Linked DNA regions of Anolis sagrei. Each later gene encodes a partner of the first gene's protein in a complex. Links are inferred from orthologs where the notes say so. Each region holds a gene or a part of one and is shown in the gene's direction. Other genes may lie near its edges.

Region 1 (7,927 bases):
ATCTCAACACTGACAAAGGGAGTGTGTCCCAGGTGGTGCTTCTAGACCTCTCAGCGGTCTTCGATACGATCAACCATGGTATCCCTTCTGGAACGCCTGGCGGGAATGGGAATCAGTGATACTGTGTTGCACTGGTTCTGGTCGTACCTCTCAGGCAGGTTCCGGATGATGGTGCTTGGGGATAGCTGCTCCCCAAAAAAGGACAATTGAAACCACCCAATGAACATGGGTAAATCTGAAGTCACATACTCTCAGCATCAAAAGAAGGCAAAAGCAAATTCCCTCTGAACAAATCTGGATAATACAACCGCATGATACATTCACCTAGGGGTTATAGTGAGTCAGAAATGACATGACAGCACACCACAACATGTTGAGTGGCCATCTCAAGCAGCAATCTGGTGTTGCAAAAAGGTAGTGAGTGAATTACGAAGATTTTTAATTTGTTGTTTTATATTTTTACTGCCAGGGATGATTAAAAAAGTACGTGAAGATTTTTTTATTGCATGAGCCAGAATAACCTGGCATCATTTATCACTTTGCCTCTAGCAGCAACATGTGTTTGACCAGCCCTGATGGGCAAAAAAGCACATAAGATAGATGTTAAACATTCTGGATCACACTTCATGGGAGATATGTGGTACACATTTTAAATATATATCTGTACTTAACATTTATTAAGCAAATTGACTTCTAGTGTTAGGACCTTATAAATTTAATGATAGCTGCTAGGGTTGTCAGTGCTAAATGTTTCAAAGACTACGTGTTTATACATAATTAAATTTGCTTAAGGGTAATTCCAGCTGCATCCTCAGATGCACGATGCGACATTCAAACTTCAAATATATATGTAGTTACATAGTTGTGGGAGTGGGATATAAGTGCAATGGGATACAACAACTGTATTAGGAACATAAATCATAAACCTTCCAAGGGCTTTAAACTGGTTTAGCACAAATATCTCAGCATCTGTTATTAGTGCACAATATGGTTGGCAAGTAACTAGCGTCAAAGCATTTTCTTTCCAGAAGTTTTTTTTTTTTGCTTAATGCATAATCTTATTTTAAAGAACAGGCTATACACACAGCCATAGTCAAAATTAACTATAAATGTAATGTAAGAAACAATCTTCAGACCTTTTGTATATAAAATGAGATTTGTTAAAGTCTCCCAATTTTTTTCAGATCTTCCCTCCAGATTCATTTGCTACACAATAATATCAAAATCTCTGACAAAACTGCAAAGTGTTCTAAAGTTGGTTTTTGTATGTATGTATGTATGTATGTATGTATGAATTGTATGTATGTATTTAGAATATATATATTCCACCTTTCTCACCCCAAAGGGGACTCAGAGTGGATCACAGAATATATGTAAGGCAAACATTCAATGCAGTTTATACAATGTCAAGACAGACAACTGTACATTTGTTGCTGTCCGTTCAGTCACTTCCAACTCTTTCTGAGCTCATGGACCAGCCCAAGTCAGAGCTCCCTGTCAGCTGTTGCCATCCCCAGCTCCTTCAAGGACAAACCAGTCACTTCAAGGATACCATCTTGCCCTTGGTCTGCCCCTCTTCATTTTTTCCTTCCATTTTCCCCAGCATCATTATTTTCTCCAAGCTTTCCTGTCTTCTCATTATGTGGCCAACGTACTTCATCTTTACCTTTAATATCCTTCCCTCCAGTGAGCACTCAGGTATTATTTCCTGGGGTATGGACTGGTTTGATCTTCTTGTGGTCCAAGGCACTCTCAGAATTTTCCTGCAACAACACAGTTCAAAAACAACTGCACATAGATAGAGGTATATATAGAATTTCCCATCTTTGGCATCTCGAAGGTTGTGCTCAGTTCTGGCCACGAGGGGTGCTGTCGCTCCATCATCCCTACTGAAAAGCTTTTGTTCATAAACTTCCTCCTTGATTGAATTGCCAGGATTTTTCTAGCATTTACTTACATATACCTAAATACCTCCATGCTTTTAAAGCAGCATCTATTTATCTACTCTCAATTGCTGCTTACAATCTGCTAGGTTGGTAGGAGCTGGGCTGAAGGCCAGGAGCTCACCCTGAACCAGGCATTGAACTGCCAACCTTCTGAATAGCCAGATTTACTGCAGCTGGTGGTAAAGTTGCTGGGCTAATATGTTTAGGATGGAGAAGAGAAGCCCAAAGATGCATCAACACTGTAGAAATAATGCAGTTTGACACTATACATTAACTGCAATGGCTTAGTGCTATGAAACGCTGGAACCTGTACTTTAGTGAACTATTAATACTCTGGAAGAGAAGTCTAGAGACCTTATAAAACTAAAGTTCCTGAGTCCATGGCACTGAACCACGGCAATTAAAGTGGTATCAGACTGAATTATTCTACAGCATGGAAGTGACCAATCTTTAATATCTTACAGTTGGGATTTTATTATTTTAGATGCACTATGATTCTATGATGTTAGGTATTTATTTATTTATTGTGTCATCATGATGTTAGGTGTGTCAAGATGATTTTCTTCAATAGGATGTGTCTTACTTTCCCTACATGTGATGAAGTATTTGTATTTCCTGTTCCTACTCCCACAATATGCCACTGCGTGTATGTCTGGATATTGTACCACCTCTTGAAGAAACAGACTGCAGCCCACAAAAGTACACCATAAAATAAACCAAATAATCTTATGAGTGTCACAAGTTCTCTCTTTCTCTCTGTGATTATGGGTTGGGTATCTTTTATTTGCTATTCCAAAATATGAAACATTCCTGATTCTGAAAACATCCACATAGTATCAACTTTGCTTTCTAGTGGTTCAATGTATAAAAACTTTGTTTCATGCAGTTATTAAAAATATTGTGTATAATGTTTCCGGCTATATGTATATGGTATATATGAAACTATACATTATGTATTTAGACTTGGATCCTATCTCCATGATATCTCATTATGTGTGTACATATAAATACAGATGTTCGCAATTCAGGGGGGGGGGGGGGGGATATGAAAGCTCCAACATTTGTGAGTCCCTTCAGGGAGAGAGGGCAGGTTAAAAATAAACTATTATTATTATTATTATTATTATTATTATTGCCCTAAACATTCCAAATAAATAATATTTAACCTGTATTGTGACAAACTAATAGCTCTTTGAAAATACAGCAATGTCTGTTGGCCTTTGTTCCCTTTTCTTGTTATTGCCTTAATAATAATAATAATAATAATTTATTTATACCCCGCCACCATCTCCCCAAGGGGACTCGAGGCAGCTTACATGAGGCCACGCCCAACAATACAGTAAAACAATATAACACAAGAACACAACAACAACAAAAAGAAAAGAAAATTGCATAAGATACAAAACCAATATAAATAAACAGAATAGCAATATAAAATCCGAGCATTAAAACACAGAATATTGATCACGGTGGGCATCGCCTTGTTATTGCTGGACTCCTTGTGTGAAGTACACCAATGCTGTAAACATCCAATGTACAATTGCCACATGCTAGTGAAATGTTCAATAAGTAATCTATATAAATAAAAATGTAATGTTCGTTGGTGGGACTAACATAACTCAAAAACCACTGGGCAAATTGACACCAAACTTGGACACAATACACCTATCAGGCCAATGAGTAACCATTACTCATAAAAACAATGAAAACTAGACTTTAAAAGCCAAAAAATACACTACAATGCATGCACATAACCACATTGTTCCCCTGACATTAAGTCCAGTTGTGTCCGACTCGGGGGGGGGGGGGGTGGTGGTGCTCATCTCTATTTCTAAGCCCAAGAGCTGGCATTGTCCATAGACGATGTGGCTGGCATGACTAAATGGAGCACCATTACCTTCCTGCCGGAGAGGTACCTATTGATCTACTCACATTTGCATGTTTTCGAATTGCTATGTTGGCAGAAGCTGGGGCTAACAGCGGGAGCTCATGCCGCTCCCTGGATTTGAACCTCCGACCTTTCGGTTACCAAGTTTAACAGCTCAGCAGTTTTACCCACTGCACCACTGGGAGATTCAGCGTAACCACATGTGTATTTATGCATAACCACATAAATACACATATACACAAATATATACACACACAAAACACATATACACAGACTGGGCCACAGCAACGCGTGGCAAGGGACGGCTAGTAAAGATATAAAATGGCAAAAGCGGGGGGGGGGGCAGAGATGTCTGTCTATTCAGCGGGCAGGCTATAATAAAAGTCTAAATAAATTTTACAAAGCCTAAAGTGCAAGTAATGATCTCATATAAGCAGCACAGCATGAGAACCTTCCTTTTTCCTCAGTATTAAACACAAGAGTTATGTTGTGTATATCCTTAGGCTTAAAAAGAAGTGTTTTTTTCCTGCAGAAGGCGCACTCTCTGCTTAGACTTCCTTCCTGGAGGAAAGGATTAGCCAGGGAGAGACTGAAAGAAAAATCCTTGCAATGCTTTTGAAGAGCCGATGGCCCTTTGCATCATGGTAGTTGTAGTTCCCTTTAAGAGGCTACCCAATCAACAAATCGGTGTGTCCAGCAAACTACATGTCCCAGAAACGCTTGCAAAGAAACACAATGGCGGGGTAGATTGCAAAAGCTGCTTTTACTTTTGATCAAAGTGCAGCAGGAAATATAACCCCTCTTTCTCTCGTTAAGTCCGGGACAATGTTTTCAATCTTTGGCATCGGAGGGGAGAGGAGTTTGGGTGTCATCTAAGGGTAATATTTATTCAAGGCAGCCATGCCCCCCTTCGCAGTCTTTTCCTCCTTTCTGCGGGGAATGCACTGCAATGACAAGGTGCTGGGGAAGTGGTTGCACTTGCAGCATAGGAAAGCGCGTGAAAGGACTTTGGGGTGCTTCAGGCTCGGGGCAAGCCCAGGGGAGTATATTTTGCACCCTAGAGTAGCCTCTGGGGGGCTACCACGAAAGGTGTGGACGCCAGCAGGGGCCTTGAGGGCTGGGAAAGGCCAAAACAGCTCCCAGGTCCCTGTGCAAAGAAGCCAGAAAGGAGGGACCTCTCTCTCAGCTGCTCAGAAAGGTAAGAGATGCCTATGGCTGTCAACCAAAGTTAGGCAATGAAGGCTGAAATGCTTCTGTCCTCTTACCTGGAAATAAACCTGAGTATTGCTTTCAGTTGATATGAATGGGGTGCATCGTGCCATAACTTTGGTGCATCCCCTTCCAAGGAGTGCATCTGCACTGCAGAATTAATGCACTTTAGTGCCACTTTAACTGCCAGGGCTCAATGCTATGGAATCTAGGGAGTTGCAGTATGGTGACACACCATGCTTTGGCAGAAAAGGCTAGGGCCTTATCAAACTTTTGTTGTTCATTCAGTCGTTTCCGACTCTTCGTGACCTCATGGACCAACCCACGCCAGAGCTCCCTGTCGGCCGTTACCACCCCCAGCTCCTTCAAGGTCAAGCCAGTCACTTCAAGGATCCCACCCATACATCTTGCCCTTGTTCAGCCCCTCTTCCTTTTTCCTTCCATATTCCCCAGCATAATTGAATTCTCTAAGCTTTCCTTTCTTCTCATGATGTGGCCAAAATACTTCATCTTTACCTCTACTATCAAACTTATCTACTTATCAAACTACGAGTCCCCAAATTCCATAGATTAAGCCATGGTACTTAATGTGGTGCCAAACCGCATTAATTCTATAGTACAGGTGCACCTTTGCTGTCAATTGAGCTGTGGTATCCTGCAAGATGTAGTTTTGCAAGGACTTTTGCCTTCTCTCCCCCAAGCATGCTGGATCCTCATCAAACTACAATTATTATACCATTGTATCGAGCCACAGCAATTAAAGTGGTACCAAAACGGCATTAATTCCACAGTGGAAGGAGGTGAATTTACAGATATGCTGTCCAAAGTTATGGTCTGAATGCCTGTCAGCCAAAATAGGTTTTTAATGTGGTACACAAAGAAAGCATATAAAGTATGACCTCCATACAACTGACATCAAAAAGCCGCACAACTGCACTTTGTACAGTTTAAAACTACTTGACAGAGTGCAAAAATATTCTGACACTTAGAGTCCTTCCACACAGTCATATAACACAGAATATCAAGGCAGATAATCCACAATATCTGCCTTGAACTGGATTAGCTGAGTCCACACTACCATATAATCCAGTTCAATGTGGATTTTATACAGCTGTGTGGAAGGGGCCTTAGTCTGTCTTTACACACTATAGAATTAATGCACTTCACTGTAGCATTAATGCAGTTTGAGCCCACTTTAAGTGCCATAGCTCAATGGGAAGTTATAGTTTGATGAGGCATTAACACTCTTGGACAGAGAAGGTGAAAGATCTAGTTGCCATGATTCCATAGCATTAAGCCATGACAGTTAAAGTGATGCCATTCTGCATTGATTCGACAGTGTAGATGTACCCTTAGGGACCATCCAGACACGCTCTATATCCCAGGATCTGATCCCAGGTTTTCTGTTTATCCCAGATTATTTGGCAGTGTGGACTCATATAATCCAGTTTAAAAGAGAAATCCTGGGATCAAATCTTGGTATATAGTGCCTGTATGGAAGGGCCCCAGATTATATGAGTCCCAACTGCTAGATAATCTGGGATAAACAGAAAACCTTGGATCAGATACTGGGGTATATTACCTATCTGGAAGGGCCTCAGATGAGAAGGAATAGGCCAACTTCACACTTTTTGAGGTTGCTGAGACATGTAAAGTAATTTCCATTGTTTTTGAAACAAAAGCTGCTACTTTCATATCTTTACCAAATTAGAGGAAACCACTAGGAGCATGCTGTGTTACCTGATATTGTATAACTTTTCTTTTTTTTCTTCTAGTGAAAGAAGCTGGAAGAGATTTCACCTACTTGATAGTGGTGGTAGTCGGGATTGGTGTCACAGGTTGTTGAAACTGGATGAAAACATTTTCCCAACTTACAAATGTTTTAAGTTTTGGCCATTTAAGTACACAAATTCTTGTGTCATTTACATTTTATTTCCCCTCTGTTTCAGGTGGTTTATTCTATGTGATTTTTAAAGAGTTGTTCTCTTCTTCCAGTCCTAGTAAAATCTATGGAGATGCCTTGGAGAAATGCAGAGCTCACCCTGAGGTTGGTTTGCCTGTTTTTATGAAGGAGTGTTTCTCTCTGAAAGAGTGCCCCTTTATGTGAAAGGAAGCTTTGCCTTCTAGAACTCTTTAAATGTGGGAATGAGTGGCTAAAGGTCTGTTTTTTGTTCTGCCAAAACAGGAGAACTAAATCTGGATTTTCTTAGCAATTTTTAAAATGTTATCACTACTGGAACCTGTCCTAGTAGTTAGGGAAAGTAGTTGCTTTGCAAAACAGCTACTAAAAGGAGACATATAGAAGGATCAATTTATACTATCTGAAACTGGAATTTTACATTTCACAGTATATTCCCTTTGCTAGGTAAAGCTACTTAATTAAGCTTTTATTTACTTAAAAAAACATAATCTATGCTATATAATTCATCAGACCTTATTTTCCATTGATAAAGGAGTCTGAATTTCACATAAGGTGCTGGAATTTATATTTTTGGAAAATGGAGAATCAGGTTCCTGCTTTTTTTCCCCTCCCTCCCTAGCCCCTCCTACACTACCATATAAAATCCAGATTATCTGCTTTAAACAGGATTATATGGCAGTGTAGACTCAGGGGCCTTCTACACTGCCATATAATCCATATTATCAAAGCAGATAATCCACATTATATGCTTTCTATTGGACTATATGAGTCTACACTTCCATAGAGCCCCGGTGGCGCAGCGGATTAAACCACTGAGCTGCTGAACTTGCTGACCAAAAGGTTGGCAGTTCAAATCCAGGGAGCGAAGTGAGCTCCTGCTGTTAGCCCCAGCTTCTGCCAACCTAGCAGTTCGAAAACATGCAAATGTGAGTAGATCAATAGGTACCGCTTCTGCAGGAAGGT
Region 2 (8,640 bases), on another chromosome or scaffold:
TTGAGGAAAGAAAGGAAGAACCACAAAGAAAAGAGTGAACCCAGCTATAGATACAGAGCCCTTCCACACAGCCCTATGTCCTAGAATATCAAGGAAGAAAATCCCACAATATCTGCTTTAAACTCGGTTATCTGAGTAATAGAATCATAGATTCATAGAGTTTGAAGAGACCTCATAGGCCGTCCAGTACAACCCCCTGCCGAAAAGCAGGAAAATTGCATTCAAAGCACCCCTGACAGATGACCTTCCAGCCTCTGTTTAAAAGCTTCCAAAGAAGAAGCCTCCACCACACTCTGGGGCAGAGAGTTTCACTGCTGAATGGCTCTCACAGTCAGGAAGTTCTTCCTGATGTTCAGATGGAATCTCCTTTCTTGTAGTTTGAAGCCATCGTTCTGTGTCCTAGTCTACTAAAAGGTCTGGGGTGCTTTGATTGTGCTTTTCCTGCACGGCAGAAGGGGGTTGAATTGGATAGCCCCTGGGGTTTCTGCTACTACTACTATTAAAAAGTCTGGGTGGTCATCTGTCTGGGGTGCTTTCATTGTGCTTTTCTTGCATGGCAGAAAGGAGTTGGATTGGGTAGCTCCTGGGGTTTCTGCTATTACTACTACTACTACTACTAAAAAGTCTGGATGGTCATCTGTCTGGGGTGCTTTGATTGTGCTTTTCTTGCATGGCAGAAAGGAGTTGGATTGGGTAGCTCCCGGGGTTTCTGCTATTACTACTACTACTACTACTACTACTAAAAAGTCTGGATGGTCATCTGTCTGGGGTGCTTTGATTGTACTTTTCTTGCATGGCAGAAAGGAGTTGGATTGGGTAGCTCCTGGTGTTTCTGCTATTACTACTACTACTACTACTACTACTACTACTAAAAAGTCTGGATGGTCATCTGTCTGGGGTGCTTTGATTGTGCTTTTCCTGCATGACAGAAAGGAGTTGGATTGGGTAGCCCCTGGGGTTTCTGCTGCTGCTGCTGCTGCTGCTGCTACTACTACTACTACTAAAAAGTCTGGATGGTCATCTGTCTGGGGTGCTTTGATTGTGCTTTTCCTGCATGGCAGAAAGGAGTTGGATTGGGTAGCTCCTGGGGTTTCTGCTATTATTATTGTTGTTGTTATCATTAATAATAATAATAATAATAATTGTCCACACTCAGATAATGTGGGATTTTCTGCCTTGATATTCTGGGATAGAGGGCTGTGTGGAAGGGCCCCTAAATAATAGTGAAAGAATGGATGAGGCTTGTGGAAGGAATGTGAGCTCAGGGGCTTTGGGGCTCAGCCAAGTGCTTGGGGAGCCCGTTTGGCTGCTTCTGGTGGCAACCAGGGAATGGCACCCGGACCCCATCCTGCCAAACACATGTAGGGTGGGCACCCCGTGAATATGAAGGGGGGCAACCCCAGATGCGACTCACCAGCAGCAGCAAGAGCAGCAGCAGGCAACGTTTGGGGAGGGAGATGAAGCCCAGGTTGTGGCTGCTTCCAAAGCGCGCAGGGGAAGGCACAGGTGAGGGCGCAAAGCTCTCCATCGCGGTGCCCACCGCGTCTCCTCCCTGGAAATCCGGCCACGGAGGAGGAAGGAGATCCTGCTTCCTGGACATGCCTCCCAGGACGAGGAGGAGGAGGAGAAGGAAGCAGGAAGGGCCGCCCAGACTAGGCAGGTGCAGCCACAGGCACCCGAAAGCACTCCCCGGCTCAGGATCTGTTTTTCTTGCGCCTCTGGCGCTTATTCTTGGAAAGGTGCCTTTCCAAGACTTCAGCCAGTCCTACACCTGAAACACACCTTTCCTGCAGACTTGATGGTTTCTTTTTGAACCAGAATTCACCACCTAAGCTCTCTTCTTCCTCCCTTTGATCCCCTCCTGGCTGTGCCTATTTCTTCACCCTGAAAGGACAAAGTTGGGTGCCTCTTATCCAGGACAGGCAGAATTCATGCTTTCATTGCCATGGCTCTCTGGAAGCATGGCTTTGCAGTTTGGGGAGGCTCCAGAACTCTTTGGGAGAAGAGACTAAGTAAAACTACAGCTCCCATGATTCTATAGATCAGTGGTTCTCAACCTTCCTAATGCTGTGACCCCTTAATACAGTCCCTCATGTTGTGGTGACCCCCAACCGTAAAATTGTTTTCGTTGCTACTTCATAACAGTCATTTTACTACTGTTATAAATCATAATGCAAATATCTGATATGCAAGATGTATTTTCATTCACTGGACCAAATTTGGCACAAATACCCAATGCAACCACATGTAAATGCTACTGGGGTTGGGGGAGGATTGATTTTGTAATTTGGGAGTTGTAGTTGCTGGGATTTATAGTTCACCTATAATCAAAGAGCATTCTGAACTCCACCAGTGATGGATTTGAAGCATTCTGAACCCTACCAATGGTGGAATTGAACCAAACTTGACACACAGAACGCTCTCGACCAACAGAAAACACTGGAAGGGTTTGGTGGGTGTTGACCTTGAGTTTGGGAGTTGTAGTTCACCTATATCCAGAGAGCACTGTGGACTCACTCAATGGTGGATCTGGACCAAACTTAGCACAAATAGTCAATATGCGCAAATGTGAACACTGGTGGAGCTTGAGGAAAATAGACCTTGACTTTTGGGAGTTGTAGTTGCTGGGATTTATAGTTCATTACAATCAAAGAACATTCTGAACTCCACCAACGATAGAATTGGCTCAAACTTCCCACATGGAATCCCCATGACCACCAGAAAATACTGTGTTTTCTGATGGTCTTTGGCGACCCCTCTGACATCCCTTCGCAACCCCTTCAGGGGTCCCGACCCCCAGGCTGAGAAACACTGCTATAGATAGATCTATTTATTGAGTAGTCCACTGACCATATCAAAAATAAAAGACAAAAACAAAAGCACACAAATAGATACTAGTCACTATCTTAAAACTCCTGGCTGGCATCACTGGGTTGCTGTGAGTTTTCCAGGCTGTATGGCCATGTTCCAGAAGCATTCTCTCCTGACATTTCACCCACATCTATGGCAGGCATTCTCAGAGGTTGTGAGGTCTGTTGGAAACTAGGCAGGTGAAGTTTATATATCTGTAGAACGATGCCCAGGATGGGAGTAAGTACTATTGTCTGCTTGAGGCAAGTGTGAATGTTGAATTGGCCAGCTTGATTAACACTGAATGGCCTTGTAGCTTCAAAGCCTGGCTGGTTGCTACCTGGAGGATCCTTTGTTGGAAGATGTTACTTGGACCCAACTTCTCCCTGTCTAGAATTCCACTGGGTTTTTTTTAGTGTTGCCCTTTATTTACTGTCCTGATTGTAGAGGGCTTGTAGCCAGATTTTGTTCATTATCCTGGTTTCCTCCTTTCTGTTGACATACTTGTGGATTTCAAAATCTACACTCAGGCCCCTTCTACACTGTAATATAAAATCCAGATTAACTAATTTGAACTGGATTATATGGTAGTGAAGACTCATATAATCCAGTTCAAATGAGTTAATCTGGATTTTATATTACAGTGTAGAAGGGGTCTGAGTGTAGATTTTCCCCAGAAAGAAAATAAGACAGGTTGGCAATTGGATCCCAGTTGGCTGTTCTAGCCCCGTAAACTGTGGGAATACTGTCTGGACTGCAGTATTCTGCAGTCCAGACCTGGAAATAGTGGATTTATTGCGTGCCTTCCAAGAAGGCATGAAATAAATCCACTATCAAATTAATTCACTACAAACCAGTGCATGAAACAATGGCTTCAAGCTACAGGAAAGGAGATTCCATCTAAACATTAGGAAGAACTTCCTGACTGTGAGAGCTGTTCAGCAGTGGAACTCTCTGCCCCAGAGTGTTGTGGAGGCTCCTTCTTTGGAGGCTTTTAAACAGAGGCTGGATGGCCATCTGTCAGGGGTGCTTTGAATGTGATTTTCCTGCTTCTTGGCAGGGGGTTAGATGGCCCATGAGGTTTCTTCCAAGTCAATCATTCTATGATTCAATGATAAGCATTCAACCTAATCCAACATGGCTCTTTCTCAAAAAATATTATATAAAGTAGTGAGGAACAGCAATGAACAACAACAATGTAGAACAATGGTTCTCAACTTTCCTAATGCTGCGACCCCTTAGTACAGTTCCTGATGTTGTGGTGACCCCAACCATAACATTGTTTTCGTTGCTACTTCATAACTGTAATTTTGCTACCGTTGTGAATTGTAATGTAAATATCTGATATGCAGGATGTAGTTTTATTCACTGGCCCAAATTTGGCACAAACACCCAATGCTCCCAAATTTGACTACTGGGGGGTTGATTTTGTCATTTGGGAGTTATAGTTGCTGGCGTTTATAGTTAACTTACAATCAAAGAGCATTCTGAACCCCACCAATGATGGAATTGAACCAAACTTGGCACACAGATCTCTCACGATCAACAGAAAATACTTGAAGGGTTTGGTGGGCATTGACCTTGAGTTTGGGACTTGTAGTTCACCTCCATCCAAAGAGCACTGTGGACTCAAACAATGATGGATCTGGACCAAACTTGGCATGAATACTCAATATGCCCAAATGTGAGCACTGGTGGAATTTGGGGAAAATAGACATTCGGGAGTTGTCGTTGCTGGGATTTATAGTTCACCTACAATCAAAGAGTATTCTGAACCCCACCAATGATGGAACTGAACCAAACTTGGCACACAGATCTCTCATGATCAACAGAAAATACTTGAAGGGTTTAGTGGGCATTGACCTTGAGTTTGGGAGTTGTAGTTCACCTACATCGAGGGACAACTGTGGACTGAAACAATGATAGATTTGGACCAAACGTCTCGAATACTCAATATGCCCAAATGTGAGCACTGGTGGAGTCTGGCGAAAATAGACATTTGGGAGTTGTAGTTGCTAGGATTTATAATTCACCTACTATCAAAGAACATTCTGAACCCCACCAATGATGGAACTGAACCAAACTTGGCACACAGATCTCTCACGATCAACAGAAAATACTTGAAGGGTTTGGTGGGCATTGACCTTGAGTTTGGGAATTGTAGTTCACCTACATCCAGAGAGCACTGTGGACTCAAACAATGATGGATCTGGACCAAACTTGGCACGAATACTCAATATGCCCAAATGTGAACACTGGTTGAGTCTGGGGAAAATAGACATTTGGGAGTTGTAGTTGCTGGGATTTATAGTTTACCTACAATCACAGAACATTCTGAACTCCACCGATGATAGAATTGGGTCAAACTTCCCACACAGAACCCCCATGACCAACAGAAAATACAGTGTTTTCTTATGCTCTTTGGCGACCCCCCAGGCTGAGAAACACTGACGTAGAAGATGTTGGCCAAATGAGGAAGTGAATCTGTTCAGCTGACAGTGAAGCATGGGTTGTTCCCCTTTGCGGCCACGAGGGGGCGTTGCAGGGAGGTGCTTACATCCAAACTCTTCCTGTCCCGGAAGCGGAAAGAAGGCTCCTGTGGAGTCGTGCGGGCTCTTTGCAGAAGCTTCTTCTTGCGTGGATGGCGCGCCTGCCTCGCACCCTCCTGGTCTTCGGGGGCTTCGTGGGCCTGGTGGGGGCGGCCCTGTACCCCATCTACTTCCGGCCCCTGATGCACCTGGAGGACTACAGTAAGTCCTCTCCTCCCCCTGAACTGATCCTGCCTTAGGCAAAGCTCCCCTAGGATGCTCCAGAGCCCTCTGCTTTGGACGCCCCCTCCCAGGAGCCTCAGCCAGCCTGGATGATGGGAGCTGCAGTCCAAAACATCAGGAAGGTCAAGGCTTAGGAAACACTAAGCCAGCCCAGCTTCCAGGCTTCAGGCCCACAAAGGAAGGAAGGGCCAATGTGCATGCCCATGTGATCAGCAATGTCATCCTGTGGGAATTAGGTAAAGGTTTTCCTCTGACATGAAGTCCAGTCGTGTCCAACTCTGGGGGTTGCTGCTCATCTCGAAGAGCCGGCGTTGTCTGTAGACACCCCCAAGGTCATGTGGCTGGCATGACTGCATGGAGTGCCATAACCTTCCCGTTGGAGCAATACCTATTGATCTACTCACATTTACACGTTTTCAAACTGCTAGGTTGGCAAAAGCTGGGGCTAACAGCAGGAGGTCATGCCACTCCCCAGATTTGAACCTGCGATCTTTCGGTCAGCCATATAGTGTTTGGGTGTAGTAAAATGTGAATTAGTAGAACCCTATACGGTTCCAGCCCAGTTTACTTATCCCAACATATCCTCCCCTATAATAAATAATAATAAACTTTATTTATACCCCGCCACCATCTCCCCGATTGGGACTCAGAGCGGCTTACATGAGGCCAGGCCCGAACAACAATTACAATAAAGAAAACCCAAGACACAACCGAAAATGCGAACAATAAACAGTAACATCATAATTACATAAAATATGTGGATACATAACAATATAAAAAATTACAATAGACACAGGCACAGTGACAATGGGTGGGCTACATGTAACGATTAAAAGACAAACTGATTAAAACTAATTAAAAACTAAGACAAGAACCATCAAGGCTGTTAAGATGTCCTGGAGGGGCCCTGCTCTCGGTCCCACCACCCTCGCAATCGCGTCTGTTGGAGACAAGAGACAGGGCCTTTTCTGTGGTGGCCCCCTAGCTATGGAACTCTCTCCTGATTGAGATCAGATCTGTCCCCTCCCTCCTGACCTTCAGGAGGCTAGTGAAATCCTGGCTATGGAACGAGGCATTCTCAGAATGATGGCGGAGACTGGCAATTGATTAAAGTTATCGACCACATATGCAGACTGAGTGGGACGTGATTTTATCTTGCCGAACTGTCTTTTATGTATTTTAGTCTATATGTATTTTAATTTATTGTACAATGTTTTAGATTGTATTGTTAGCATTCAATCCTTGCTATTAGCCAGTCTGAGTCCCTCTATGGAGGTAGAGAAGATCGGGATACACAAGTTTTAAATAATAATAATAACAACAACAACAACAACAATAATAATAGAAGCTCAGCTATAATGCGTACTGCCGATCTGAAAAGATACCATCAAATTTAAGACAGTCAATGAACAATACTGGGGTTCTTACATATACTAATCCTTCCTTCATATAAAGGATATCTTACCAACTCGGCCACCTATGATTTTGAAGAGAATTATCATGACAACATTAGGACTAATAATCAAAATTATTTTAGTATAGAATATTTTTTAAAAAAGAAAATGACATAGAAAGTGGTTGGCCCATTGGAACTGAAGGTACCCATCTTCATTGCAGAAGATATAGAGCAGTGGTTCCCAACCTTTGGTCTTTCGGGTGTTTTGGACTTCCAACTCCCAGAAATCCCACACATGGAGCACAGTTACCTTCCCACCGGAGCGGTACCTATTGATCTACTAACATTTGCATGCTTTTGAACTGTTAGGTTGGCAGAAGCTGGGGCTGATAGTGGGAGCTCACCCCGCTCCCTGAATTTGAACCTGCGACCTTTCGATCAGCAAGTTCAGCAGCTCAGCGGTTTAACCCACTGTGCCACCGGACCACTGTAAAATAAGATGGAAGTCGCCCATCTGTGAATGGTTAACATGTGAAAGGGGAAAGGGTGTAACCCAGGCATGGGCAAACTTGGCCCCTCCTGGTGTTTTGGACTTCAATTCCCACAATTCCTCAGATAATCCAGATCGAAGCAGATATTGTGGCATTTTCTGCCTTGATATTCTGAGTGGAAGGGCCCCTAGTGTCCTGGTTCCCAACATGAGGCACACACCCCACAGGCGGGCAATTTGAGAATGAGTTCTTACCAGTGAGTATTTTGCATTTCTTATGGTTCTAGCAGGCCTCATACACAGTATATCAATATATATTGTGCCATACAAATTTTAAAAACTAAAATCAAAATGTACACAGTGGTCAACAGGTGGCAGTGGAGAGGGGGAAGACTCTCTGATATAGAGCATGGAGTTCACTAGCGAGTGCATGAACACAGAAAAGTGAAATAACTTCCATTCCAAACACGCCACTCATCTTACTGACCTTCCAGACAGGCCTATACCCCAAGATCTGATCCCAGGTTTTCTACTTTAAACTGGATTATACGAGTCCCCACTGCCAGATAATGTGGGATAAACAGAAAACCTGGGATCAGCTCCTGGAATATAGGGCCTGTCTGGGGGGGGGGGGGGGGGCATAGGCTGGATTTACACTGTTCTATATTCCAGGATCTGATCACAGATTATTTTCTTATCCCAGATTATCTGGTATTGTAAACTCATATAATCCAGTTCATTGCAGACAATCTGGAATCGGATCCTGGGATATAGTGTAGTGTAGACTCAGCCTCAGTGTTCTTTTAACATTGCAAGCTATACAAAATATATCAAAATATATTTTTGTTCAGCATTTGAATATAGCAAGAAATCTGAAAAAAAAGTCCAAAACACAACGATTACTTTCATATATAAGTCAATGTTTTGTATGAGTAATAATAAAAAATATAATCAGCTGCAAGAAAATTAATGTCAGTTGACAGGATATTCCCGCATAGTCTCACCAAATACTGTACATGAAGTTGGACACTTATATTACCCTGAATTCGATGCAGATGACTCAAATCAATTGTGCCTCGAATATGACTACTGCCCATGTGATAGTTGTTCTATTTTATTACTTAACTTTATCA
Region 3 (7,669 bases), on another chromosome or scaffold:
TTCTGGCCAGGCGAGACTGCAGCGCTACTGGCAGCGGCATTGGGGAGCCTCCAATCCAGGAATGATAATGGAAAAAACACTTCTCTTGTGCACTGGATCCTCAGAAGAGGAGGGGAGAGATCTGCAACAGCTCCAGGACTCTGATCCACTCAGGACCCAAGCTCGGGGCGAGGGGGTGGCCTGTTAAAATAAAACAATGCCACAGTTATCACACAATGATTCATTGATTAAATTTAATTGATTCAGCTGCAGCCATAACACCTAAACTAAAAAGAGACTGAGAAATTAGATTTACAGGTAGCTCCTGATTTAGAAACGACTTAAAGTTAAGAATGGAGGTATGACAATAGAAAGAGAGAAATCTACCCCTCAGAAGGGAAATTCACCCCTGGAAGAGTTATCCTGAGGAAAAGAGATCTCCATTGAAGCTTTCCCACCAATCCTTGTTTCCACAACAAGCCATTTTTTTCCAAATCCTATCATCACAAGGACAAAAAGTGCAACAAAATCTTCTGAACTGGGGCACAGACAGCAAAACAAACACCACAGGAGTGTTAACCCTTCCCTGTGCTGTCAAAAGCGCTCCCCCCCCCTTATACACACATATTTGGATGGCTGGAGTTACAATGAAAAAATGTACCTGTTCCAACTTACAAATAAATTCAACCTAAGAACAAACCTACAGAACCTACCTTATTTGTAACTTGGAAACTGTCAGTACTGTGAAAGTTCATTCTGGGATAGTAGGAGGAGCAATCCATTGCAACTGGGTTTAACTGGACTGACTCACTCGTTTTCAGTTGAACCATTAAACTCATTCCTCTTCTCCAGCAGATTTACTATCAAACTATAACCTAAAACCCAGGCCCCTTCTACACTGCCATATAAAATCCAGATTATCTGCTGTGAATTGGATTATATGGCAGCATCATAATAATAATAAAAATAATCATCATCATCTATATAAATAAAAATATAATGTTTGTTTGTGGGATTAACATAACTCAAAAACCACTGGACGAATTGACACCAAATTTGGACACAATAAACCTATCAGGCCAACAAGTGACCATCACTCATAAAAATACTGAAAAACACAGCAGAAGGGATTTAAAAAGCCAAAAAATAAAAATTACATTACAATGCATGCGCAAACCCATATATATATATATATATATATATATATATATATGCACACACATACACACACACACACATACACACACACACACACACACACACACATATGCAACCACACATATACATACACAAAATACATACAGACTGGGCCACAGGGGATGGCTACTAATAATAATAATAAAAAACTTGAATTATATTCCACCCTCTCTCTCCTGGGAGACTTAGGGCAAATTCCAACAAATAAAAAAACAAACATTCAATACCTCAATAACAGTAAATACAAATATAATCCAGTTCAAAGGAGATAATATGAATTATCATCTGCGTTGATAATCTGGATTATACGGCAGATTGTTCCTCTTCAAAATACATCCCTTCTGCTTATTGAAGCTGCCCTTGACTGGAGGTAAATCTATACAGTATTTTAACAATGTTGTGCCTGAAACAATGTACCTTGGAGCATCAGCAAACCCATGTGACACATTTTGGATAATTTGGATTACAGAGAAGGAGAACTCCACTGGTTCCTCAGTACAGTAATGTCTGAATGTGGGTGCATCTACACTGTAGATTTAATCCAGTTTGACACCACTTTAAACTGCTATGGCTCAATGTTATGGAATCTTGGAGCTGCAGTTTGGTCTTTTGGCAGAGAAGGCGAAGCAGATTATAAAAAATTTAAATCCCAGGATTCCATAGCAAGCTGGTGTCAAACTGCATTAATTCTGCAGTGTAGATGCACTCTATTCTTCAAAGCTTTAGCTGAGCATCATTGGGTGCCCCCTCTTCATAAATACAAAGGTAAAAACAACACAAACATTCTGTTTGAAGAAGCTCATACCTGATTCCCTGCTTTCAGTCTTTTCGTCGGAGCCAATCAAACACAAGTCCACTCAACACAACCGTTTCCAATATTAAAAGCTTTTTGACCCGACAAAGCCGCCGTCCGTAAGAGCTTAAGCTTCCTTTCCCCCTCTGCACGTGACACCACCGCAGCCTATCGGAATTCGGCATCTATTTTTTCCCTCCTTATATTATTGATCGTCAGGTAAACGGGCAATGCACCAATGCGAGGGAAAGCCTTTCACGTCAACCCGCCCCTTAAGTCCCTCTTAGCCTATCAAAGACAATCTTCTTTTCTTAACGAGATGCCCTCAAACAGAAACGACAGGCCTCATTGGTTGGTTGGATTATTTCTCTAGAGATATAAGGAAATTGTCAGCAAATATGGAAAACACAAGAATGGCCATCAGACTGGAAAAAATCAACCTATATCCCCATACCAAAAAAGGGAAATGCGAAAGATTGCTCAAACTTCCGTACAGTGGCCCTTATTTCCCATGCCAGTAAGATAATGCTCAAGATCCTGCAAGGAGGACTCTAGCAATACATGGAGCGAGAGTGGCCAGATGTACAAGCTGGGTTTAGGAAAGGCAGAGGAACGAGAGACTAGATTGCCAGTATCCGCTGGATAATGGAGAAAGGCAGGGAGTTTCAGAAAAACATCTATTTCTGCTTTATTGGCTATTCTAAAGCCTTTGGCTGTGTGGATCATAATAAATTGTGGCAAGTTCTTGGTGGGATGGGCATACCAAATCGCCTTGTCTCTCTCCTGAGGAATCTGTATGAGGACCAAGTAGTAACAGTCAGAACTGACCATGGCACAACAGACTGGTTCAAGATTGGGAAAGGTGTATGGCAGGGTTGAATACTCTCCCCCAACCTATTCAACTTGTATGCAGAACACATCATGCGATGTGCGGGGCTTGAGGACTGCAAGGCTGGGGTGAAAATTGCTGGAAGAAACATTAACAACCTTAGATATGCAGATGACACCACTTTGATGACTGAAAGCGAGGAAGAGCTGAGGAGCCTTCTAATCAAGGTGAAAGAAGAAAGCGCAAAAACTGGGTTGCAGTTAAACATTAAAAAAAAACACCAAGATTCAGGCTGATAACTGGCAAATAGAAGGAGGAAACGTGGAGGCAGTGACAGATTTTGTATTTCTAGATGCAAAGATCACTGCAGATGCAGACTGTGGCCAGGAAATCAAGAGACACTTACTTCTTGGGAGGAGAGCAATGACCAATCTCGATAAAATAGTGAAGAGTAGAGACATCACACTGGCAACAAAGATCCGAATAGTTAAAGCAATTATATTCCCCGTAGTCACCTACGGATGTGAGAGCTGGACCATAGGGAAGGCTGAGCGAAGGAAGATCGATGCTTTTGAACTGTGTTGTTGGAGGAAAGTTCTGAGAGTGCCTTGGACTGCGAGAAGATCCAACCAGTCCATACTTCAGGAAAGAAAGCCCGACTGCTCATTTTGAGGGAAGGATAGTAGAGGCAAAGATGAAGTATTTTGGCCACATCATGAGGAGACAGGAAAGCTTGGAGAAGGAAAAAGGAAGAGGGGCCGACCAAAGGCAAGATGGATGGATGGCATCCTTGAAGTGACTGGATTGACTTTGAAGGAGCTGGGGGTGGTGACGGCCGACAGGGAGCTCTGGTGTGGGCTGGTCCATGAGGTCACGAAGAGTCGGAAGTGACTGAACGAATGAACAACAACAAGAGATTCCACATTTGCCCTACAAAAACAGAACCCGGAATTTCCAATGCAATTTACCATCCTTTTCTGTTGTCACACTCCTCACATAACACTTTGGTAGAGGGTGTGTGTACCACTTTACACCTAATGCAGAATGGGTTGTTGTAGATTTTTTTCGGGCTATATGGCCATGTTCTAGAGCAGTGGTTCTCAACCTGGGGTCCCCAGATGTTTTTGGCCTACAACTCCCAGAATTCCTAATAGCTGGCAAACTGGCTGGGATTTCTGGGAGTTGTAGGCCCAAAACATCTGGGGACCCCAGGTTGAGAACCACTGTTCTGGAGGCATTTTCTCCTGCATCTATGGCAAGCATCCTCAGAGGTAATGTGGTCTGTTGGAACTAGGAAAGTGGGTTTATATATCTGTGGAATGACCAGGGTGGGACAAAGCCCGAAAAAACCTACAACAACCCAGTGATTCTGGCCATGAAAGCCTTCGACAATACTAATCCAGAATTCTGAGATTTGTAGTTGGGGAGGAGACTTTGACATCCTCAACTGGAGAAATCCTGGGCCTTCCTAAACTACAAACCCCAGAATGCTGAAGGAGGAGACAGCAGGATTTAAAGTGGTAGGCACAGTCTTGACCTAACTGTACTGTAGTCTTGTATTCCTATCTCTATGGTGACGACCAACCTGTTGGCGGCGCTTCCACGCGGAGAAGTTTGTCCCCGCCTCACGCGCTGACCGGCAGCCAATCGGAGGCGGTTGGGTGATCCGGGTCTTTCTAGTTCCTCCTTTCACGTGACCGGCGCTACTTTCGCCTGGGAGCGATGGAGGAATATGCCCGGGAACCCTGGTAACTGGACTTGGGCTGGGGTTTGGAGGGGGAGGAGGAGGAGGCCTTTCTTGCTTTATCATTACCATGAAAAGGAGTTGGGCTGGGTTGCTCGCCCTGGACAAGGGCCTTCTGACTTTCTCGGGGAGGGAACTGAATCAGAGGCCTTTTTTGGCTGCCCTTGAGAGGGAGACATCTTTCTCTACCAATACGAAAGGAAACAAACCTCACAAAAGAGGATTGAGCCGACCCACCTGTAGTTGCTTTCTTCTTTTTCTTTCTACCTCACTAAGCGTTATTGACTTTCCTGGCGAGTCATCTTATAGGAGAGTTTCAGGATACATTTCCACTGTAGAATCATAGAGTTGGAAGCTGCCCTACAACTCCCACAATCCCTTACTATTCACTATGCTTCACTAGAAACTGAAAAGTAAAGAAATCTAAAAGTAAAGGTTTTCCCAGACATTTTTTTTTGTCGTGTCAGGAGCGACTCGCTTCTTGTTGTTGTTCATTCGTTCAGTCATCTCCGACTCTTCGTGACCTCATGGACCAGCCCACGCCAGAGCTCCCTGTCGGCTGTCACCACCCCCAGCTCCTTCAAGGTCAGTCCAGTCACTTCAAGGATGCCATCCATCCATCTTGCCCTTGGCCGGCCCCTCTTCCTTTTGCCTTCCACTTTCCCCAGCATAATTGTCTTCTCTAGGCTTTGCTGTCTCCTCATGATGTGGCCAAAGTACTTCAACTTTGTCTCTAGTATCCTTCCCTCCAATGAGCAGTCGGGCTTTATTTCCTGGAGGATGGACTGGTTGGGTCTTCTCGCAGTCCAAGGCACTCTCAGGACATTCCTCCAATACCACAGTTCAAAAGCATCTATCTTCCTTTGCTCAGCCTTCCCTATGGTCCAGCTCTCACATCCATAGGTTACTACAGGGAATACCATGGCTTTGACTAGGCGGATCTTTGTTGCCAGTGTGATGTCTCTACTCTTTACGATTTTATCGAGACTGGACATTGCTCTCCTCCCAAGAAGTAAGCGTCTTCTGATTTCCTGGCCACAGTCTGCATCTGCAGTAATCTTTGCGCCTAGAAATACAAAGTTTGTCACGGCCTCCACATTTTCTCCCTATATTTTCCAGTTGTCAATCATTCTTTTTGCCATAATCTTGGTTTTTTTGATGTTTAGCTGCAACCCAGCTTTTGCGCTTTCTTCTTTCACCTTGATTAGAAGGCTCCTCAGCTCCTCCTCGCTTTCGGCCATCAGAGTGGTGTCATCTGCATATCTGAGGTTGTTAATGTTTCTTCCAGCAATTTTCACCCCAGCTTTGCATTCCTCAAGCCCCGCGCATCGCATGATGTGTTCTGCATACAAGTTAAAAAGGTTGGGTGAGAGTATGCAGCCTTGCCGTACGCCTTTCCCAATCTTGAACCAGTCTGTTGTTCCGTGGTCAGTTCTTACTGTTGCTACTTGGTCCTTGTACAGATTCCTCAGGAGAGAGACAAGGTGGCTTGGGATGCCCATCCCACCAGGAACTTGCCACAATTTATTATGATCCATACAGTCAAAGGCTTTAGAATAGTCAATGAAGCAGAAATAGATGTTTTTCTGAAACTCCCTGCCTTTCTCCATTATCCAGTGGATATTGGCAATCTGGTCTCTCGTTCCTCTGGCTTTTCTAAACCCAGCTCGCTTCTGGTGTGAGAGAATTGGCCGTCTGCAAGGACGTTGCCCAGGGGACGCCTGGATGATTGAATGTTTTTATCATCCTTGTGGGAGGCTTCTCTCATCTCCCTGCATGAGGAGCTGGAGCTGATAGAGGGAGATCATCCGCCTCTCCCCGGATTCGAACCTGCGACCTGTCGGTCTTCAGTCCTGCCGGCACAGGGGTTTAACCCACTGCGCCACTGGGGGCTCCTCACCTGTGAGGATGCTAGCCATAGATGTGGGTGAAATGTCAGGAGAGAATGCCTCCGGAACATAGCCACACAGACCCGAAAACTCACAGCAATCCAGTGATTCCAGCCATGAAAGCCTTCGACAGCATATTATAAAATGTACAGTGAGCACCAAAATAGAGAATTGTATACAAATACATAACTATATAACTAATGATCTAGGTCAAGAATATATTCTGAGCAGTCTGCAAATCGAAAATTCTGGTAGGTAGTAACTGTTGAACCTAGCCGTCACAGAAGCTAAAACTTTGTTTATACAAAACTACCCGATTCCTTACTTTGTAAAGAAACTGATGCTTGAAAATCCACTCAAAATTTGATGAAATATATATTATACTTAATTAGTACTTGCAATAGGAATCTTGTAGCACCTTAGAGACTGAACAAGAATAAAGTTCATAAGATTTGAGGACGTAGACTCAGGCTGGATCTAAACAGCCCTATGTCCTAGGATCTGATCCCAGATTATCTGGCAGTGTAGACTCACACATTAAGTTCAGTTGAGTCCAACTGTGTGTGGTGGTGCTCATCTCCATTTCTAAGCCGAAGAGCCGGCGTCGTCCATAGACACTTCCAAGGTCATGTGGCCGGCATGACTGCACGGAGCGCCCTTATCTTCCCCTCGGAGTGGTACCTATTGAGCTACTCACATTTGCATGTTTTCAAACTACTAGGTTGGCAGAAGCTGAGCCTAACAGTGGGAGCTCACCCCGCTCCCTGGATTTGAACCAGCAACCTTTTGGTCAGCAAGTTCAGCAGTTTAACCCCCTGCGCCACCAGGGGAACTCTTAGAATCATAGAATAATAGAGTTGGAAGAGACCACATTGACCATCTAGTATTCTAGGCCAATCCCCTGCCACGCTGGAAAAGCAGCATCAAAGTACCCCTGACAGATGGTCATCCAGCCTCTGTTTAAAAGTTTCCAAGGAAGGAGCTTCCACCACACTCCAAGGCAGAGAGTACCACTGCTAAACAGCTCATACAGCAGTGGTTCTCAACCTGTGTCCCCCCAGATGTTTTGGCCTCCAACTCCCAGAAATCCCAACAGCTGGTAAACTGGCTGGTATTTCTGGGAATTATAGGTCAAAACACCTGGGGACCCACAGGTTGAGAACCAGTGTCTTACAGTCAGGAAGTTCTTATAGAATCATAGAATTGGAAGAGACCACATAGGCCATCCAGAAGCAGGA

Evidence for each region.
Region 2: TIMM21 (region 1) and SMIM20 share a complex: the UniProt entries of both Homo sapiens proteins name them as parts of the MITRAC (mitochondrial translation regulation assembly intermediate of cytochrome c oxidase complex) complex. The link is inferred for Anolis sagrei from reciprocal best matches to the Homo sapiens genes TIMM21 and SMIM20.
Region 3: TIMM21 (region 1) and TIMM17B share a complex: the UniProt entries of both Homo sapiens proteins name them as parts of the TIM23 complex. The link is inferred for Anolis sagrei from reciprocal best matches to the Homo sapiens genes TIMM21 and TIMM17B.

What each region holds. Positions count from the first base shown.
Region 1 is NC_090024.1:72,469,871-72,477,797, forward strand, and holds the start of TIMM21 (mitochondrial import inner membrane translocase subunit Tim21), read left to right. Parts: upstream 1-4,524; 5' UTR 4,525-4,734; coding exon 4,735-5,032; intron 5,033-6,818; coding exon 6,819-6,881; intron 6,882-6,992; coding exon 6,993-7,090; intron 7,091-7,927. UniProt on the Homo sapiens protein: Participates in the translocation of transit peptide-containing proteins across the mitochondrial inner membrane.
Region 2 is NC_090025.1:112,997,472-113,006,111, forward strand, and holds the start of SMIM20 (small integral membrane protein 20), read left to right. Parts: upstream 1-5,409; 5' UTR 5,410-5,491; coding exon 5,492-5,600; intron 5,601-8,640. Other genes in the region: SEL1L3 (protein sel-1 homolog 3), read right to left, coding at 1,415-1,600.
Region 3 is NC_090022.1:178,483,408-178,491,076, reverse strand, and holds the start of TIMM17B (mitochondrial import inner membrane translocase subunit Tim17-B), read left to right. Parts: upstream 1-4,438; 5' UTR 4,439-4,520; coding exon 4,521-4,546; intron 4,547-7,669. Other genes in the region: PQBP1 (polyglutamine-binding protein 1), read right to left, coding at 1-40. UniProt on the Homo sapiens protein: Essential component of the TIM23 complex, a complex that mediates the translocation of transit peptide-containing proteins across the mitochondrial inner membrane.